Oryctolagus cuniculus: one gene and its partners. The protein of the gene in region 1 purifies or fractionates together with the protein of each later gene. This does not show direct contact. Links are inferred from orthologs where the notes say so. Each region holds a gene or a part of one and is shown on either strand. Other genes may lie near its edges.

The links. Proteins that work in one complex are often made in the same cells at the same time.
Region 2: the proteins of BYSL (region 1) and CSNK1D purify together in Homo sapiens (affinity purification with mass spectrometry; 3 studies listed by BioGRID and IntAct, with this or other methods). This does not show direct contact. The link is inferred for Oryctolagus cuniculus from reciprocal best matches to the Homo sapiens genes BYSL and CSNK1D.
Region 3: the proteins of BYSL (region 1) and RIOK2 purify together in Homo sapiens (affinity purification with mass spectrometry; 3 studies listed by BioGRID and IntAct, with this or other methods). This does not show direct contact. The link is inferred for Oryctolagus cuniculus from reciprocal best matches to the Homo sapiens genes BYSL and RIOK2.

Annotation. Positions count from the first base shown.
Region 1 is NC_091436.1:127,986,066-127,991,688, forward strand, and holds the start of BYSL (bystin), read right to left. Parts: upstream 3,749-5,623; 5' UTR 3,411-3,748; coding exon 3,143-3,410; intron 1-3,142. Other genes in the region: MED20 (mediator of RNA polymerase II transcription subunit 20), read left to right, coding at 3,933-3,946. UniProt on the Homo sapiens protein: Required for processing of 20S pre-rRNA precursor and biogenesis of 40S ribosomal subunits. May be required for trophinin-dependent regulation of cell adhesion during implantation of human embryos.
Region 2 is NC_091448.1:745,043-750,631, reverse strand, and holds the start of CSNK1D (casein kinase I), read right to left. Parts: upstream 3,298-5,589; 5' UTR 2,967-3,297; coding exon 2,891-2,966; intron 2,416-2,890; exon of another isoform or gene 2,278-2,415; intron 457-2,277; exon of another isoform or gene 437-456; intron 1-436. UniProt on the Homo sapiens protein: Essential serine/threonine-protein kinase that regulates diverse cellular growth and survival processes including Wnt signaling, DNA repair and circadian rhythms. It can phosphorylate a large number of proteins.
Region 3 is NC_091445.1:19,844,533-19,850,370, forward strand, and holds the start of RIOK2 (serine/threonine-protein kinase RIO2), read right to left. Parts: upstream 3,298-5,838; 5' UTR 3,209-3,297; coding exon 3,143-3,208; intron 191-3,142; coding exon 52-190; intron 1-51. UniProt on the Homo sapiens protein: Serine/threonine-protein kinase involved in the final steps of cytoplasmic maturation of the 40S ribosomal subunit. Involved in export of the 40S pre-ribosome particles (pre-40S) from the nucleus to the cytoplasm.

The DNA of each region.
Region 1 (5,623 bases):
GGGGAGTGAACCAGCGGATGGAAGACCTCTCTCTCTCTGCCTCTCTGTAACTCTGCCTTTCAAATAAATAAATAAATCTTCAAAAAAAAAAAAAAATTCTAAAGCTCCATTGGGATGGGAGGCAGACATTTTTCTCCATTCCATTCTTACTTCCAGATGCTGACTCCAGGTGCCTCGTGGAACAGCTGCTTGGGGAAGACTCACAGGCACCTCAAACTCCACCTTCATCAAGAGAACTCATTCCCTTCCCTCACGGTCTACACTGCTCAGTCCTCCAAAGCTGGGTAAACGGCACCATCCCGGACTCAACACTGAGCTTGGGAAGCAGCCCTGCCTCATGCCCTGCCCTCACCTTCAACCTCCAATCAACTACCAACTCCTAGTCCCCAGAATTTTACCTCACAGACTGTCTCTCAAGTCCTTGACAGCCCAGGCTAAGCCTCCATCTGCAGCATCTTTTGCTGGATTAATTCAGCAGTCCCTTAATGTTTGTCTCACTTCCCTCCACTGCATTCTTCACTCTGCAGGGAGAGTAATCTGCCAGCAACGCACATTTGATTTGGTCAGTTCTGCACTCAAACCCCTCCCACAGCTTCCCATCATTGTTAGAAAGGCTTTCAATTCTGGGCATGCTCTCCAAGAGCTCTGCAGGTTTGGCACCTACCTACCTACCTCACCATCATTCATTAGTCCATTTACTCAGCGAACATCGAGTGTCTGCTACATGTGAGGCACTGGTAAGAGTGCTGGAAGGTTAGCAGTGAACAAGAGAAACAGAAATTGTTGACCTCACAGAGCTTACATTCTAACTGGAGGAGAAAAACATAAAAAATAGACGTAATATATAAATATATTGGATTAAAAGAAGAGAAGTACTAAGACAAAACACAGAGTAGAGAAGTCAGAAGTACAGAGGGGTCCAGCACTGTGGTGGGTGAGGCCACTGCCTGCAGTGCCGGCATCCATATGGGTGCCGGTTCGAGTCCCAGCTGCTCCACTTCTGATCCAGCTCTCTGCTGTGGCCTGGGAAAGCAATACAAGATTAGAAGATGGCCCAGGCCCTTGGGCCCCTGTACCAGTGTGGGAGACCAGGAGGAAGCTGCCGGCTCCTGGCTTTGGATCTGCTAAGTTCTGGCTGTTGTGACCACCCAGGGAGTGAACCAGCAAATGGGACCTCTCTCTGCCTCTCTGTGACTCTGCCTTTCAAATAGATAAACTGCAAGCCTGCAGGCAATGGAGTAGACTAATCCAGGAGAAGGAACAGCCAGGCACAGGCTCCAACTGCCCATGTTTAGAAGGAACAATGAGATTTGTATGGTGGAGTAGAGGACAAAGGGAAAGAAGCCGGCGGTCAGACGGTAATAGAGGTAGATCACACAGGGCACTGTGCACTATTAGAACCCTGTAGCTGTAGGGGCAACAGGATCGTGGTTAGGAGGGTACCACAATAACCCGAGCGCAGAACATGGCGGCTTGGACATGATGGCGTTTCTAAGGTGGCGGAGGTGGTCATCAGAACTTCCTAATGAATAAGACATGGAGACAGGAGGGGGAAAAGAAAGGGAGGGGGAGGGAGACCAAGGACAGGGGAGGACCAGGTGTGGGAGTCAGAGTTTGTTTTGGACATGGTAAGTTTGAGATGTCTTTTACATGTCAAATGAGAGATGCCCAATAGCAGCTGAATATAAGAATTTGGGCTTCAGGGGCTGGTGTTGTGGTGTAGCAGGTGAAGGAAGCTGCTGCCTATGACACCAGCATCCCATATGAAGCCAGTTCAAGTCCCAGCTGCTCTACTTCTGACCCAGTTCCCTGCTAATTGCCTGGGGAAAGCAGCAGAAGATGGCCCAAGTGCTTGGGCCCCGGCACCCACAGGGGAGACCGGGATGAAGCCTTGCTGGTTGCCGCCATCTGGGGAATGAACCAGTGGATACAAGATTTCAAATAAATAGATAAAAAAATTTTGAGTTTCTTGGAAGAGATCAGGGCTGGAATAAAAAGTAGGTAACACTCACTAAATAGATGGTAGTTAAATCATGAAACTTGAACAGGAAGTTTCAAATGCCTGCAAAAGCCAAGGAGACCCAGATGGAGCTCCGGATTTGGCCCGGCCCAGCTCAGTCATTGTGACCATTTGGGGAGTGAACTAGTGGATAAAAGATCTCTGTGTCTCTTCCTTTCAAGTAAATAAATAAATCTTAAAAAAAGAAAAAAAAGAAAGAAACAGCTTAGGAAACCCACATCCCATAACTGAATGCCAGGGTTCGAGTCCTGGTTCCACTGCAGATTCAGGCTTCCCACTAATATAGACCCTGAGAGACAACAGGAGGGAGCTCAAGTCATTGTGTCCCTGCAACCCACCCGGAAGAACTACACTGAGTTCCAGGTTTGGTCTGGCCCAGCCCTGGCCGTAGCAGGCAGCAGGCGTTTGGGAAGTAGATTAGGGGAAGCAAGTTTTCTCTCTCTGCCTTTCAGATAAAGATACTGTAGCCAGAAGAGCAGGGTTCAATTGCGTCAAATACTGCTTTTCTACAAATAAGATAAGCTCTGAGAAGTCGGTTAAACAACTCAGAGGTCAAGGCTTCTCCCCTATGAGAAAACAGTCAACATTTTTCAATCATCTCTCCCTCCACTTGGCCCCTAAACAATACTGCTTTTTCTGTTATGAACATTCGGTTTCAGGTCTCAGCTTCCAGGCTGGGCAACTCTGACCCCTACACGAATGCTATCGTTTCCAGAGAAACGAGACTTTCTTTCCCATGGAATTTACTGTTCTAATTGTCTCTCTCTTGGTTTAGACTGTAAGGTCCCGAGCTATATCTTGTTTATTTCTGCACGCAATCCATCAAAACTCCCAGCATCGTGCAAAGCCGGTAGCGAGCATCCCATATTTACAAAACCGTTGGACAAATGCTAGGAGAACTTGGTGGCCTGAGCCATCACTTCCTATTGGCCTAACTTGCGGGACGCGGCGAAAGGAGCACTAAAAACAGGGAGCGGGCCTGCAGGGTTCGGTCTTCCACCTGCCCTGCTCTCGGTAGAGAGCAACGTGCAACCCGGTTTTGAATCCAAGGTACTCCCCTGCCGGACACCTGTGGGCCGTCCACCCCCCAACCCAACTACTGCCTTCCCCGCGGACGCTCACCCAGCCGCGTGGCGCGCTCCCGAGGCTTGGCGGGCCCGTCCCCAGAGCCGTGCTCGGTTTCCAGCTCCTCCTGTTGCTGCCGTGCTTGCTGCAAAATCCGCCGGCTCAGCCGGGGCCCCACATACTCTTCCTCCTCTTCCCCGGTTCCGCGGCCCCGCCGCTTTTCCCGGGCACTTGACCGCACCGCGTTCCCAGCCAGGATCTGCTCGGCCAGGGGCGCGTGTTTTTCCTGAGCCCCAGCCCCACGGGCCGCTTTGAATTTCGGCATTTTTCTCGATAATGCGGCCCGGCAAACTCACACGTGGGTACGGCGACAGCCCAGGATGTGCGCTCGGCAATGAACGCCCAGGTCTGTGCCGAGAGGCCACGCGCTCACAGCGCCCCTACGCGTTCGGAGGCCAGAAAAGCAGCCAGCACCACTGCACTCCCGCAGGGAACTCCCGAGTCCTGGAGCCGGAGCCCGGAACAAATGCATTGCCTTTGACGTTGACGTCTCTAAATGGTGGCAGCCCGGGCCACGCTTTCCTAGCTTTCTGGATCTAGGACCAGGGTGGCCAACCAAACGGAAACTTCCGGAACTGCAAGCCAGGGGAGGGGCTGGGAATCGGGCCGATGACCTCACTGGAGGCGTCACCCAGAGTCGCTGCTGGTGCGTCTAACCGGCGCTCTGTTTTTACGTACTTCCGGAGCCCCTCCCGCGACCCGAGCCTGCGGTAGTTTTTAGTTCTTGTGGGCTTCGGGAGAGCGCTGTTTCGGCTGTGTGGTCGTGCCGCTTTCCAGGCCTGACGCTATGGGAGTGACCTGGTAGGATCACAAAGGGTTTTATGGGGCGGGACTTGGGTCGTGAAGGTCCCTTGAAACCTGGAGGGTCGGGGACTGAAGTCCGCCGTTCTCCGGGAGCTGAGCAAAATGCCCTCGGGCTGCGTGGATGTGGGCACTCTAAGGGCCGTGAGTCTCGGGCCCTAATGGGCCCCATTGCTCCTGGAAGGAAGCAAGGAAAAGGTTTTATCTCAGGAACCTTATGCATGGGTTGTGTACCCTCTTCTCTTTTTCTTGGTACGTCTTGCTACCCTTGAAATCCTAGTAGTGCAGAAAGTGGGACTTCGAGGTCGGAAACAGGGCTTTTCAGACTAGAACCCACCCGCAGGTAGGGTTAAAGCTGATAGGAGATAGGCAACGAGGCGGTGTTTGTGTGTTCGCCTCCCCCTACCTGTAGCCACCCAATAATCAGCCTGTATCTGGTTCTCATTCGGGTCTACAGGATCAAAATGGAAACTACTGGGAATTAGAAGATCAGGTTTCCAGACACTTTACTTCCTCATGACCTGCCTCCTACTACGTTTATACGGTTGATTCAGTTTCAGTGCACTTAAAAAAAAAAAAGATTTATTTATTTGAAAGGCAGAGTTAAAGAAAGGCAGGGGCAGAGAGAGAGCTTCCATCTGCTGGTTCTCTCCCCAAATGGCTGCAATAGCCGGAGCTGGGCCGATCAGGAGCCTGTAGCTTCTTCCAGGTCTCCCATGGGGGTGCAGGGGCCCAAGCACCTGGGCCATCTTCTACTGCTTTCCCAGGCCATGACAGAGAGCTGGATCGGAAGTGGAGCAGCCGGCTCTCAAATCGGCACCCACATGGGATGCCAGCTCTACAAGCAGCTGCTTTACCCTCCACGCCACAGCACTGGCCCCCAATGGACTTTTAAATCTCTGAACATGTTCTCAAACCCAGATGGAAGAGGATGGGGTGGAGGGGAAGGGTATGAACCCAGGGATCTTGGAGACCTTAGTTCCAAGGTGCTGGGTCTCTGCACCTTTTTTCTTCTTCTTCTTTTTTTTTTTTTTTTTAAGTCTTGGTTGTGAGCATCTCATCAGAGAGGCCTGGAGGCCAGGATATCTGAAGCCAGGAGTTATAGGCTTCTCTTTTTTTTCTCTTTTTTGAAAGATTTGAGAGGTAGAGTTACAGACAGTGAGAGGGAGAGACAGAAAGGTCTTCCATCTGCTCGTTCACTCCCCAGATGGCCCCAATGGCTGGAGCTGCGCCAATCCGAAGCGCTTGGGCCATCTTCTGTTGCTTTCCCAGGCCATAGCAGAGAGCTGGATTGGAAGAGGAGGAGCCAAGACTCGAACCGGCACCCATATGGGATACCGGCACCACAAATGGAGGATTAACCTACTGCACCACAGCACTGGCCCCCTAGGCTTCTCTTTTAAAAATAGTTGGGGGTAGAGGGAACACAATTTCTCCCAGTAGCCAGGGGTTTCTGGGGCTTGCACTCTTGTTTCCCCTACCACAACCCTCCCAAGCCCTGCAGAGTGAGGGTGCTGGTGCGGGATGGAGGTGGAAAAGTTGCAGCACAGGGGTTGGGACTGTGTGTAGCAGATTAAGTTACTGCCTGCAGTGCCGGCATCCCTTATGGGCACTGGTTCAAGTCCTGGCTGCTCCACTTCCAATCCAGCTCTCTGTAATGGCCTGGGAAAGCAGTAG
Region 2 (5,589 bases), on another chromosome or scaffold:
CTACAAAAGGCCTGGAAATAAGACAGGTGCCCTCCACCACAGGTGAGGTCTGAGAAGTGCCCCGGAAGGACCAGTGTGTGACAGGTGTCGCTGAGCTCGGTTCCAGATTCAGACCAAGCCCAAAGCGGGGCGGGCAGCGGCAGCTCCGCAATCCTGCTCTAAGAGGGTCAGTCACTATGTGGACACAGGCTGCTGTGGGTCCTAGAAGAGAAAAGCGCACCCCTCAGGGCGCGCAGACAGCAGAGGGAGAACCCAGTGAGCCTAGCCCAGAAGCAGGAGCCCGTCCCTGGGCGGGGAAGGACTCTGCACTGCCAGCCAGGATGTCGCTGTCCCAACAACAAGGCAACAGGGACCCGCCTCGGAGCAGCTGGGCAACGGTCATCTCACAGGGCACCTGTCAGCCAGGTGGCCCAGGCAGAACTGTGGCTTCTCCTACCAGCACTCAGGGAAGCCCACTTCCGAGGGACACAGACGCCCCGGCCCTCCACACGGCACAGGGGCGATGCCGGAAGAAGAATCGGGAACTCCTCTCCTCTCCAGGCCGCCAGCACTGTGGGGTTCTGCGTGCTACACACCCCGCGCGGTGCCGCTCCAGAGACAGCTGAGCCGGGGGAAATGTGAAAACCAAAAGAGGCTGCTCAGGGCCCCTCCCCAGGATGGAGACCAACGCCAGCCGCCGGCGAGGGCCCCCCTCCCGGCACTCAGCTCCCACCGCCTGCCTCTGGAGACCAACGCGACGGAGGACAGAGGCTCAGCCGTGCCGGGCCCCGCCAGCCTGCGCGGCCTCTTCCCTGGGATGCCAGGCTGGGAACACACGGTCCACACTAGGAACACGTCCTCTGTTTTCAGAGGCTAGCAAGTGTGTAGGAGTGAAAGGGGTTTCCACTGCCTTGGACACCCCCCACCTCCAGCACATGGTGACATACACGGCCACCACAGTGCCAGCGCAGGGGGCACACAGCCACGGCCCACACCAGCGCCACTCCACAGGTGTGCGGGCTGCCACACCTTGCCAGCTTGCCCTTCTGAAGAGACTTCTGGATGCGGCAGGCTGAGACTGACAACTGACATTGAATTTCTTAGCGGCCCAAACCCAGCACATACACTTTCCGGAGCCCAGGCATTTGGCAAATAGCCCTAGGGTGCTGGCCCCACCCCGCCCCTGCCTTCCCTCCTTCCAGCTCCAAACACCTGGAAGCACACGAAATGCCAGGTAGGAGCTCAAAGCAGGAGGGCAGGGTCAAGGGCACTCACGCCACACGAGAAGGGGTCGCGACACCTCAAGTCCGACACAGGCACGACCAGCCTGCACAGCCTGTCCTCAGAGGGTCAGCCGTGGGCCCAGCGCCAACGCTGCTGGAGGAAGACGGGTCGTGCCCTGAGGGATGCGGGCCACAGCCCATGTGAGAGGCAGCGGCCTCTGGAGCCGGACTGTACGCAGTGCCACGGCGTGCCCAGCCAGCACAGCGGGGTAGCCGAGGACGGCGCCTCACTGGGCTTCCACTCCACAGGAAGCTCCCGTGTCCGTGAGTCGCCTGGTGACCACCGTGCCACGACTGGACTGGCTGAACCCACCTCTGACAGCACAAAGCCGTCTCAGGCCGCAGAACAAAGTGTCAAAGCCTCCCCTTTTGATGCCCACGGAAGGGTGCTTGATGGGCTGGCTTTTCGGTGTAGATCCCAAATCCTGAGGTTAAAACTTTTGCCAAAAATCCATTGTTCTATAAATAAGCCAACTACTTCCATTTACCCGGCACTCCGGCTCCCGGCACTGCTGAGCGCGCAGCTGGCAGACTACTTAGAATAAATATTTAAAATGCCTCTGAAGCATGTTTTACTCAGCAGGCTATTAAGGGAGAAACTCAGGTTCAGACATCCACGCGGCCTGGAAGCACCCAGGCCCCAGAGGTCCTCACGACCACCTCCGCCCTCGACGGCCGGAGCGCAGGACAGAGGCAGGGCCTGTTCACCCGCCCTTCACAGCAAGTGCACCTGCCGGCCCGGGCTTCGGAGTCACTCAGGAACGGGATTCCACCGCGGAACCAAGCTCCCGGGAAATCCCGCACCGTGCGCCTCCCGACCCGTCACTGGCCTCTGCCGGGGCCCACACCTGGGCACGGACGAGGGCCCACAGGTCCCGGAAATGGCTGCGGGGCGCGTCCCGGCCCAGACAACACTTTCCGCCCTCCTACTGGGGACTAAGGTGTCGTGTGCGCGCGTGTGTGTGCGTGCGCGGGGGGGAGGGGCGGCCCACAGGGCCCGCGGCCGGTCAGTTACCTGCAAGGGGGCCAGCGGAAGCCACCAGGAGCCGTTTCTGACAGGGACCCCCCCACCGCCCCCAGCACGCAGGTCATGCTGACATTTCGCCCACACGTGTGCAGTGCGGGGATGCGGGTGCCCCAGCAGGCGCCAGACCCACCGCAGACGGGGGACAGTGGCCTTTGTTGACGGCGGCGACCTCAGGCCAGCGGAGGACGCTGCCGCCCGGCCCTGCCCCCTGCCTGCTCCAGGCCCTGCCCGCCCCCAGGCCCGGAGACCCCTAGACCCGGCGGCACCCCCTCCCGGAGGCCCCGCGCCCCCGATCCTGCTGTCCAGCCCCCTCCTCACCGGACCTCGTCCCACTGCTCGGTGCCACTGCGCCCCCGGCCCGGCCCATCCCCAGGCGCCGCTGTCCCCTCCCCCTAGGCCTCGCTGACCCCCCCCACGTCCTGCCCACCCCCAGACCCCGCTGTCCGCCGAGCGGCCGATGGTTTCTGGCCACGATCCGGCGGCTCCTGAGCCCTCGCCCCCGCCTTCCGCGGCCGCCCGGCCTCGGACAGCTGCGGGGTGCGGGTCCCCCGCGGGAAGGGGCGGCCGGGGGGAGGGGCGGCGGCGGCTCGCGGGGCCTCACCGAGATAGATGTCTCCGAAGGAGCCGCTGCCGATCTTCCGGCCCAGCCGGTACCTGTTCCCGACTCTCAGCTCCATGGCGGCGGCCCGCTCGCCCCTGCCCTCCCGGCCGCTTCCTGGGTCTGAGCTCCGGAGGCGGCGCCGCTGCTGCCGCTACTGCGGGTCCGGCTCCGGCTCCGCCCCCCTCACGGCCCCGCTTTCACCATAGCTTTCCGGCCGCTCCACCGCTCCCAGCGCCTCAATACGGGGCGGATGGGACAGTTCGAGCGCCGCCGCCCCTGCTCCGGCCCGTGCCGGCCCAGCTCGCCCTCTCCCCGCCGCGGATGGACTCGGATCTTCCGGGCCTAAATCCCCCTTCAGCTGCCTAAAGGAACCGCCGCCATCGTGCTGTGACGTCACTTCCCCTAGCAACCCGGCGGGGCGGGGCCTCGCCGCTCGGTGGGCGGGGCCTCGCCGCTGGGGCGGGGCGAGCGAGCTCCTGCGCACTGCCCGCCCCGCGCCCGCAACGCCGGACCCCGGCCCCTCGCCCCTCGGTCCCCGCCACCCAAGGCCACCCGTCGTCTTGTCGCCAGCGGGCACCACGTGCCGGCGTCCCCTGCCCCGCAGATGCCTCGCGACCGACCTAGGAAAGGACCCGAGCGGGTCGTGTGCAGGAAGGAGACGGGGGTCGGGGGCTCCCGGGGCTGGAGCTGACACCTCCCCCCGCCCCCGCCCCCGCCCCGATCCGGAGGGAGCCCTGTAGGCTGCGAGCGCGGAAACGGCGTGCGGGCCCCCGCAGGAAGGACGCGGGGTGAGGCTGGGCGCTGGCCGGAGTCAGCGTTGGGTCCCAGCTTCGTGGGGTCTGGGCGTCCTTGCGAAGGAGGTCACGGACTCCAAAGTTAAGGCCGAAGGCAGCTCTGGATCCCTGTGCCTGAGCTCTGCCCGCAGAGACGGTGGGGGGCTCTTCCAGGCATCCCGACGGGGTTGGTCCCCTCCAGACACCCCGGGGGGGGGGGCCCAAGAAGGGCGATCTTCTGGGGCTTCCGCGTGCTCCCCAGCCTGCTGAAGGCGAGCACCAGGGCACGCATCCCCAGCCACACTCTGCTCCATCCAGCCTCCTGACCCCCAACGTCTGGAGGTCAGGTTTTGGGGCCCCGGGCACCAGTCAGGCCTGGAACCAGGTTCTCGGGCTCACGGGTCAGAGGTGGATTTTGCACCTCGTGGACACAATGTGCTCCTAGCTCTTCTGCGGGAAGGCGGGGGAGGGGGGCAGGAGGAGCCTGGCGCCCACTCCCTGCAGTTCCTGCCAGCGCCTCGAGGAGCTGCAGGGCTTGGGGCAACCCCTCGGCCTGCTGCTCATTCTCGGAACGGCTCAGGACAAGGGGGTGTCACCGGGACCAGAGCTGGTGCCTGTGGCGCCCAGGAGGGACCCCGGCGGGAGCGGTGCTGCCCAGCTGCCCCAGCACCGGCTGCGGCCCCCGTGTGAGGCATCCCCCAGCCCCAGGAGCGCCCTGCTCCCGCCTTTCTGCCCCTTGTGCTCCGACTCCGCCCCTCTGCCCACTTGAGTGACCTGAGGCCAGACTGGACGTCAGGTTCCCCGGAGCCCCCTGCAGCAGCGAGGCCACTCCAGGCGGCTGCTCCTGCCTGACTGCTGGGACTGGCCCCGGTGGCCTCCAGCCGGCACCTCCAGTAGTTGGCCCACAGAAACACTGGCCCAGGGGGGGCGGGTGACTTGCATGCGAGCTCAGTGGGGTCAGGGTTCAGCCGCCTCCTGCGGTGCTGGCATCCCAGATGGGCGCCAGTTAGAGTCCCCGCTACACCACTTCCGGTCCAGAAAGCAGCAGTGGACGGCCCGAGTGCCTGGGCCCCGGCACCCACGTGGGACACCTGCACAGAGCTCCTGGTTTCTGGCATCAGACTGGCCCAGCCCTGGCTGTTGCAGCCACTGAGGGAGTGATCTTCAGTGGATGGACTCTCTCTCTCTCTCTCTCTCTCTCTCTCTCTCTCATTAAACAGAAAAGGAAAGGCGATCATCATTGTGAGATGCAGACGCTGGACGCAGAGGGACTCAAAGTTTTAAATTTCTAGGTTTTTCATGGCAGCTCCAGTTTTTAAAAAATATTTATTTGAGGCCAGCGCCGCGGCTCACTAGGCTAATCCTCCGCCTTGTGGCGCCGGCACGCCGGGTTCTAGTCCCGGTCGGGGCGCCGGATTCTGTCCCGGTTGCCCCTCTTCCAGGCCAGCTCTCTGCTGTGGCCCGGGAGTGCAGTGGAGGATGGCCCAGGTGCTTGGGCCCTGCACCCCATGGGAGACCAGGAAAAGCACCTGGCTCCTGCCTTCGGATCAGCGCAGCGCCGGCCACAGTGGCCATTGGAGGGTGAACCAACGGCAAAGGAAGACCTTTCTCTCTGTCTCTCTCTCTCACTGTCCACTCTGCCTGTCAAAAAAAAAAAAATTATTTGAAAGGCAGAGTTAGAGAGAGAGATTTCCCATCTGCTGATTCACTCCCCAAATGGCTAAAGCCAGGATCCAGGAGCTTCTTGCGGGTCTCCCACAGTGGGGGAGGGACCCAAGCATTTGGGCTGCTTTCCACTGTCTTCCAGGTGCATCGGCCAGGAGCTGGACGGCAGTGGGGCGGCCGGGACTGGTGGCTGCTGACTCACTCCTGCGGCGCCACGGGGCCGGCCCCGGCAGCTGCAGCGTCGAGTGTTCTGTGTGACTG
Region 3 (5,838 bases), on another chromosome or scaffold:
GAAACCAATTACCTGAAAAAAATCACGAATTCTGTCTTAAAACATACTTACTTTTGGTACGCTCCCAGGCTATGAGTTTATGTTTCACTAATTCTCTTAAAACTTTATTACAGCCACCATGTTTAAGGCTGGCTATAGAAGCAATCAAACTGCAGGGAACTATTTCATGGTTCTTCATGCCCATTTCAACCTGAAATGAAAGGAATCATTATATGATCATAACTACCATAAAGCCTTGTCTACCAAAATTCTGTAAGGGATACATTCTGAGACATGGGTTATTAGGCAAGTTTTGCACTTTCACAAACTAAGACACCTGCTATGTCACTAAGTGATACAATCTTGCGGAATCCCTGTTGCATATGCAGTCTGCCATTGACTAGAACATCTTCTGGGGAATCATAATTATGAAACAAAATTACCATCAGTTATAATTTGATATGTAATCACTAACAACATATCTCTACTGCACTTCAAGGGTACAGATTCTGAGTCCTTGGCATAGATAATGATACATGATGAAGCCTAAAATACCTGCTGACATCTAAACAGTTGTCTTGAAAAACTATAAATGTTTTAGTGATAATCAAAGGAAGGACTTCAAGGGCTTTAAGAAGTTTTGCGTTTTGATGTAGGAGGGCAAAAGGAGAGAGGAATTTAAGCTGGAAGTGAGGAGGAAGAGTACAATTTAAAATTATGTTTTTTGGTAGTTTGGGAAACAAGGAAGAGGGTAAAGTTGACTGATTTGGTTTGAGCACATAAAAGTCAATTGCAGATGTTTACAGGGAAATTGGGAACTTAGGAGTCAACTCATAATTGGGGAAACAGGGTCTATTTTTTGGCAGAGATGAAAGATGAGACTGTAAAGTGGATGCCATCACCAAGAAATAATGGAACAAAAGGAAAGGCTGGTGAAAGAATTTTGCAGGAAATTCACATCGAAAGGTAAGGCTGGGCCGGTGTTGTGGCACAACAGGTTAATCCTCTGCCTGTGGCAACAGCATCCCATATGGACACTGGTTCTAGTCCTGGCTGCTCCTCTTCCAACCCAGCTTTCTGCTATGGCCTGGGAAAGCAATAGAAGATGGCCCAAGTCCTTAGATCCCTGCATCTGTGAGGGAGATCCGGAAGCAGCTCCTGGCTCCTGGCTTCGGATCGGCGCAGCTCCGGCTATTGCGGCCAATTGGGGAGTGAACCAGCGGATGGCAGACCTTTCTTTGTCTCTCCCTCTTGCTGTCTGTAACTCAACCTCTCAAATAAATAAAAAAAATATTAAAAAAAAAGGTAGGGCCAACAAATCATATATAAAGAGACAAAGAAATTAAAGGGAAGAAGAGGGTAAGAAAAGGTGTTGGCAGTGGTGAAATTCAACTGAGACTGGGCTGTCATGTTTAATGGCTGGAGTATTCTTTGGTGGGCTCCAGAGAGAATTTTTTAATTTTTCAAATATGTATTTATTTATTTGAGGGGAAGAATTACAGAGAGAGAGAGAGAGAGAGAGAGGTCTTCCATCTGCTGGTTCACTCCCCAAATGGCTGCAACAGCTGGAGCTGGGCTGATCTGAAGCCAGGAGCTTCTTCTGGGTCTCCCATGTGGGTGTAGGGGGCCAAGCACTTGGGCCATCTTCCACCGCTTTCCCAGATGCATTAGCAGGGAGCTGGATGGGAAGTGGAGTGGCTGGGACTCATGAGGGATGACGGCACTGCAGGCGGAGGCTTAACCTTACTAGGTTAAGTGCTGGCCCCCTTAGAAAGAATTTGAATATTAAGAGTCCAAGTTTGGAAAGATAAATCTGTCATCATTTTGATGTCCCACCAAACTTCACACTTTAACTTAATTCATCTTGCACACTTGGACCCTGTCTCTCCAGGATCTAACACTATTCCTCGTGACTGTGAGAGGCAGTAAGGAATGGATCAATGTGCTGAGCAAGCAGAGAAGGGAGCTTTCAGAGGTGATCGTAGGTAATTACACAAAGACCAGTTGACCTGAAGGATGTATGAGAGAAAGAAGAGTGTCTTCGAATTTCATATAGATTTTTGTCTTTGATAGTTTAATCCTTGGGTATTGCTATTTAAGACTCATTTCCAAAATCCAACATAAAGCCTTAAAAATAGTACAAGAACCAGTGTGACTCATATGACATGCTTGAGTGCCATCACATAATGACACCATACAGAGTCTTCAGCATGGGGCTCACTCCTTATCAAACCATAATGGGTCCTAAAGAAAAGTACTGGCTTCGTTAACGTCACTGATCTCTGTGCCTTGACCAGAAACGTTCAGTGGCTCCCCGTCCCCTGCCACCTTTACCAAGCCTGAAAAGCTGTATGGTACACAATCTGGCAACGACTTTCCCAGGTATGTCTCCAATCTAAGCTCACTCCGCCCCAGTCACGCCGGTCTTTCCTTTCTTCAGGGATTTCCCACCCTAGGGTCTTGCTCTTGTCACTGCCCCCAACTTCTACAGCTGAGCAGGCTCCTTATTAACTTCTCATTCTTTTTTTTTTCACGTCGCAGGATATTAATTTACTGCCTACCAAGAGACAATAACTTAAACAAAAACAAAACAAGAAAGTCCTGTGGACCTTGGTCACAACCGTAAACAGACGAGACCCTCGCACGCGGGGAGTCTTCCCCGACTACACAATTCAACGACAGCACTCGCCGCACCCTCCGCCGGACGCCCAGAGCCTTGCATTCCCGCGTCCTCTCCCATCTTCCCGGCCCTTACTCCCTGATACCGTCCAGTTCGCTATGAAAAGCCCCGGCAAACGTGCTGAGAGAATCTGAGGTTAATACTGGGACCTGAGGATGCACTCAGAGGCACCGAGTGTCCTCGGGACGGGACTCAAACCCTTCCGGCTGCCGGAAGCCCGAGGCAGAGACCAGGCCACGGCGAGGCGAGCGTCTCTCCAGCTCGGGGAGAGACCAGAAGGGAAGGAAAATGACTAGGAGACGGGGCCTTGGCGCTCGCTGGGGGACGACAAATGCCACACATAAGCCCTGTAAAAATCCGACTCTCCAGGGCTCTTTTCCCGGTTCCCAGCGTCGGCGCGTCCGCAGGCGCGGGGCGCGCCGGCTCAGCTCTGTCCATCTGAAAACGCACCGTCGGGAAGGTCACAGGGGAAGCGTTTCTTACCGCTGTCAGGACCCTGAAGTCATCCCGGCTCATGTAGCGCAACTTGGCCACATTCACCTTGCCCATGGCGGCGGCTCCACAGCCAGCCCGGCGCGCAGCGCACGGCCTCCCGCGTGCGTGACGGCCGCGCGTCGCCTGCGCATGCGCCGGCGTGCGCTCCAGGTCCTTGTCGCGGAAAGAAGGCGCTCTGGTCCCCGGGGCGTGCTGGAGTGAGGCGTCGCCTGTGTGATGGAGCGCCGGGCGGGGAACAAGGGGGCGTTTTATTTGCCATCGATTTTGCGTGGAACTGAGTTGGTGGAGTGTAAATGCTCTCTACAATTCGGCGTTTTGTTTTTCACACCTGTCAGGACTGGCTGCCTTGAGGCTGTGTTTCGCCTCAGCGGAGTGGTGACTTTACGGCAGGAACTCATGTTATCCCGAGTCCCAACAAGAGAGCTGGACTGAACTGGAGGGAGACCAGAGACGACGACTGTAATTCCTAACTGCACCCCTTAGGGACACGAAATCGCGCGGCTCAGGAGAACGTTTTCGCGCTTGCTCGCTTACTACCTCAAGAATGCGCCTGCCGGGCGGGGGTTTAAGCCGAGAGTGTGGGCGCTGTGACGTCATTTTCCCGCGCGCATTTTGCCCGGAAGTGGGTGCTTGCTTGGTTGTGGGCGGAGCTGTACCAGTAGTACTTGGAGGCTCGAGGGCTTTACTCTGGCTCTGGGCCTTACAGAAATGGTGACTGGAGCAGGATTGAAAGCAGTTTTGCACCCAGGCAAATGGACGCGCACTCTACCCTTCCCTCCAACATCAGGACCAGCGTAACAACACGTGTGTGACGTGTGTCCTCGAAGGTCATGCACTGTTTTAAACTTGTGAACGATTAACACCTTGCTACACTCACCCCGTAATGGTGAATGCTACGTATTGTTACGGAGCATTCTGGTCCACCTCAGCCTTGACTTACTCCCAATCCCTGGTGTTTAACCGCTCTCTGGGCCCTAGGAATTCGGTGTTTACATGGCTCCATCTTTTTCTGGCTTCCACAGACTGATGTGCTGATTTCCCGCCCCTTCAAGTCCCGTCCTGCGTGCGCCGCTCCGTCCAGAGCTAGAGCTTATACAACAAACTTGTTGTCTGGAGGCAGGCAGCTGATTGTGATCGTCCCTTTCCACTGGGTACTCGGTGTTCTGAAATGTTGAAATGGAAAAGGAAGAACGGCCCTTTACCCCCACTATTTTCCAGTCTCTGGCTGCTGCTTACTTGAACGCAACAGTCCATGATTAACCATGATCAACTGGTGAACATCTCCATTTGTACGACTTTTTTCTTTCTGTACTTCACATAGAAATGCTAAGATTTAAAGGAACCAAATGACTAACTTCTAAAGCAACAATGGAGTGGTGAACACTATTTGGGTGTCAACTAATTCAGCACTTTAGCAGACATTGCCAAACTGTTATAGCACAATCCATACTTCACAGCACTGCTTCGGACAGCCACTACTAACTGACTAGATATGGCTAGAATTGCTGAATCAGAGTGTGCTGTAGGATCAATCACATTGAATGCAACCTCTTACTTTCAATATTAATTTTTTAAATGAAATCTTCATGATCAGACCATCAAAGAGTAAAGGTAAGTAATTAAAGTTCAGTTTGTTATTCTATTCTACTCTAGTATTCCATGCTTAAGTGATGACTTAAACAGAAAATGTGCAATAGTCTTCATCTACCATTTATCAAACGCATATGCCAGCCTTTTTGCTAGCTCCTCACTCAATCCTAAGCCTTAAATTTAATGGTGGATGGCAGTGAATTAAAAGATTAGAGTATATGTGACTTAGGTGCAAAGAGTTTATCATATCATTATTTACTGCTTCCAGATTCCAACTACAATCACTCACTCACTCTCTAGCATGTACGCACACCCCTGTCCCTTACACACTACAGAGATCTTGGCTGTCTACAGATTAAAGTTCAAACTCCTTAGGATGGCATCCATTCTCTAACAATCTGTATCATTACTTTCAAGTAGCTTTTTTTTCTTCATGCAACTCCCTTTATTACCTTCCTCACTATTTCCACCTGTAATGCTGCCCTCGCTCTTTTTTCTGGTCATGATATACATGAGTTCTACAATTTGTGGCAAAATTTAAACAAGGAGACTGAGTTAAAAGTTTAAGTTCAAAGGGAAGAAAAATTGTGTATTTATGATTAAGATACCATACTAGCTAAAACTCATGAAAGTTGTGAAATACTTTACCACACAAAGGCTGTGTGTGCTGTACTTTTGTGTGTTAGGGATATCAGTGGTGAGGAAACACACAGTATGAATTATGTAGATATGTGGAATTTGCAGAGTATTCCAGTGAGGGACTTATAATTCAGACTTGGAAGTTCTGGAGTGTAGTGGAATACACACCAAGAATTATCGTATAACTGTTGAAAAACAGCTCCTGGCACACTAGATTCCTTGGGAAATGGGTTGCCTAACATTGATCTGTCAGGTGATAGTGTGCTCACAATTGTGCTGCACAGACTGGTTTTGTCACATGTTATAAAGCGGGGGGGGGGGGTTCAGCAGCAGTCTGTCATAAGATGAAAGTGATACATGTAGAACTAAGCACAAATTAGATGAGAGGGCACAAACAAGCATCATGAACAGGTAGCCTGGACTTTCCTGTGTCATGAGCTACTGTTGACCAAGTT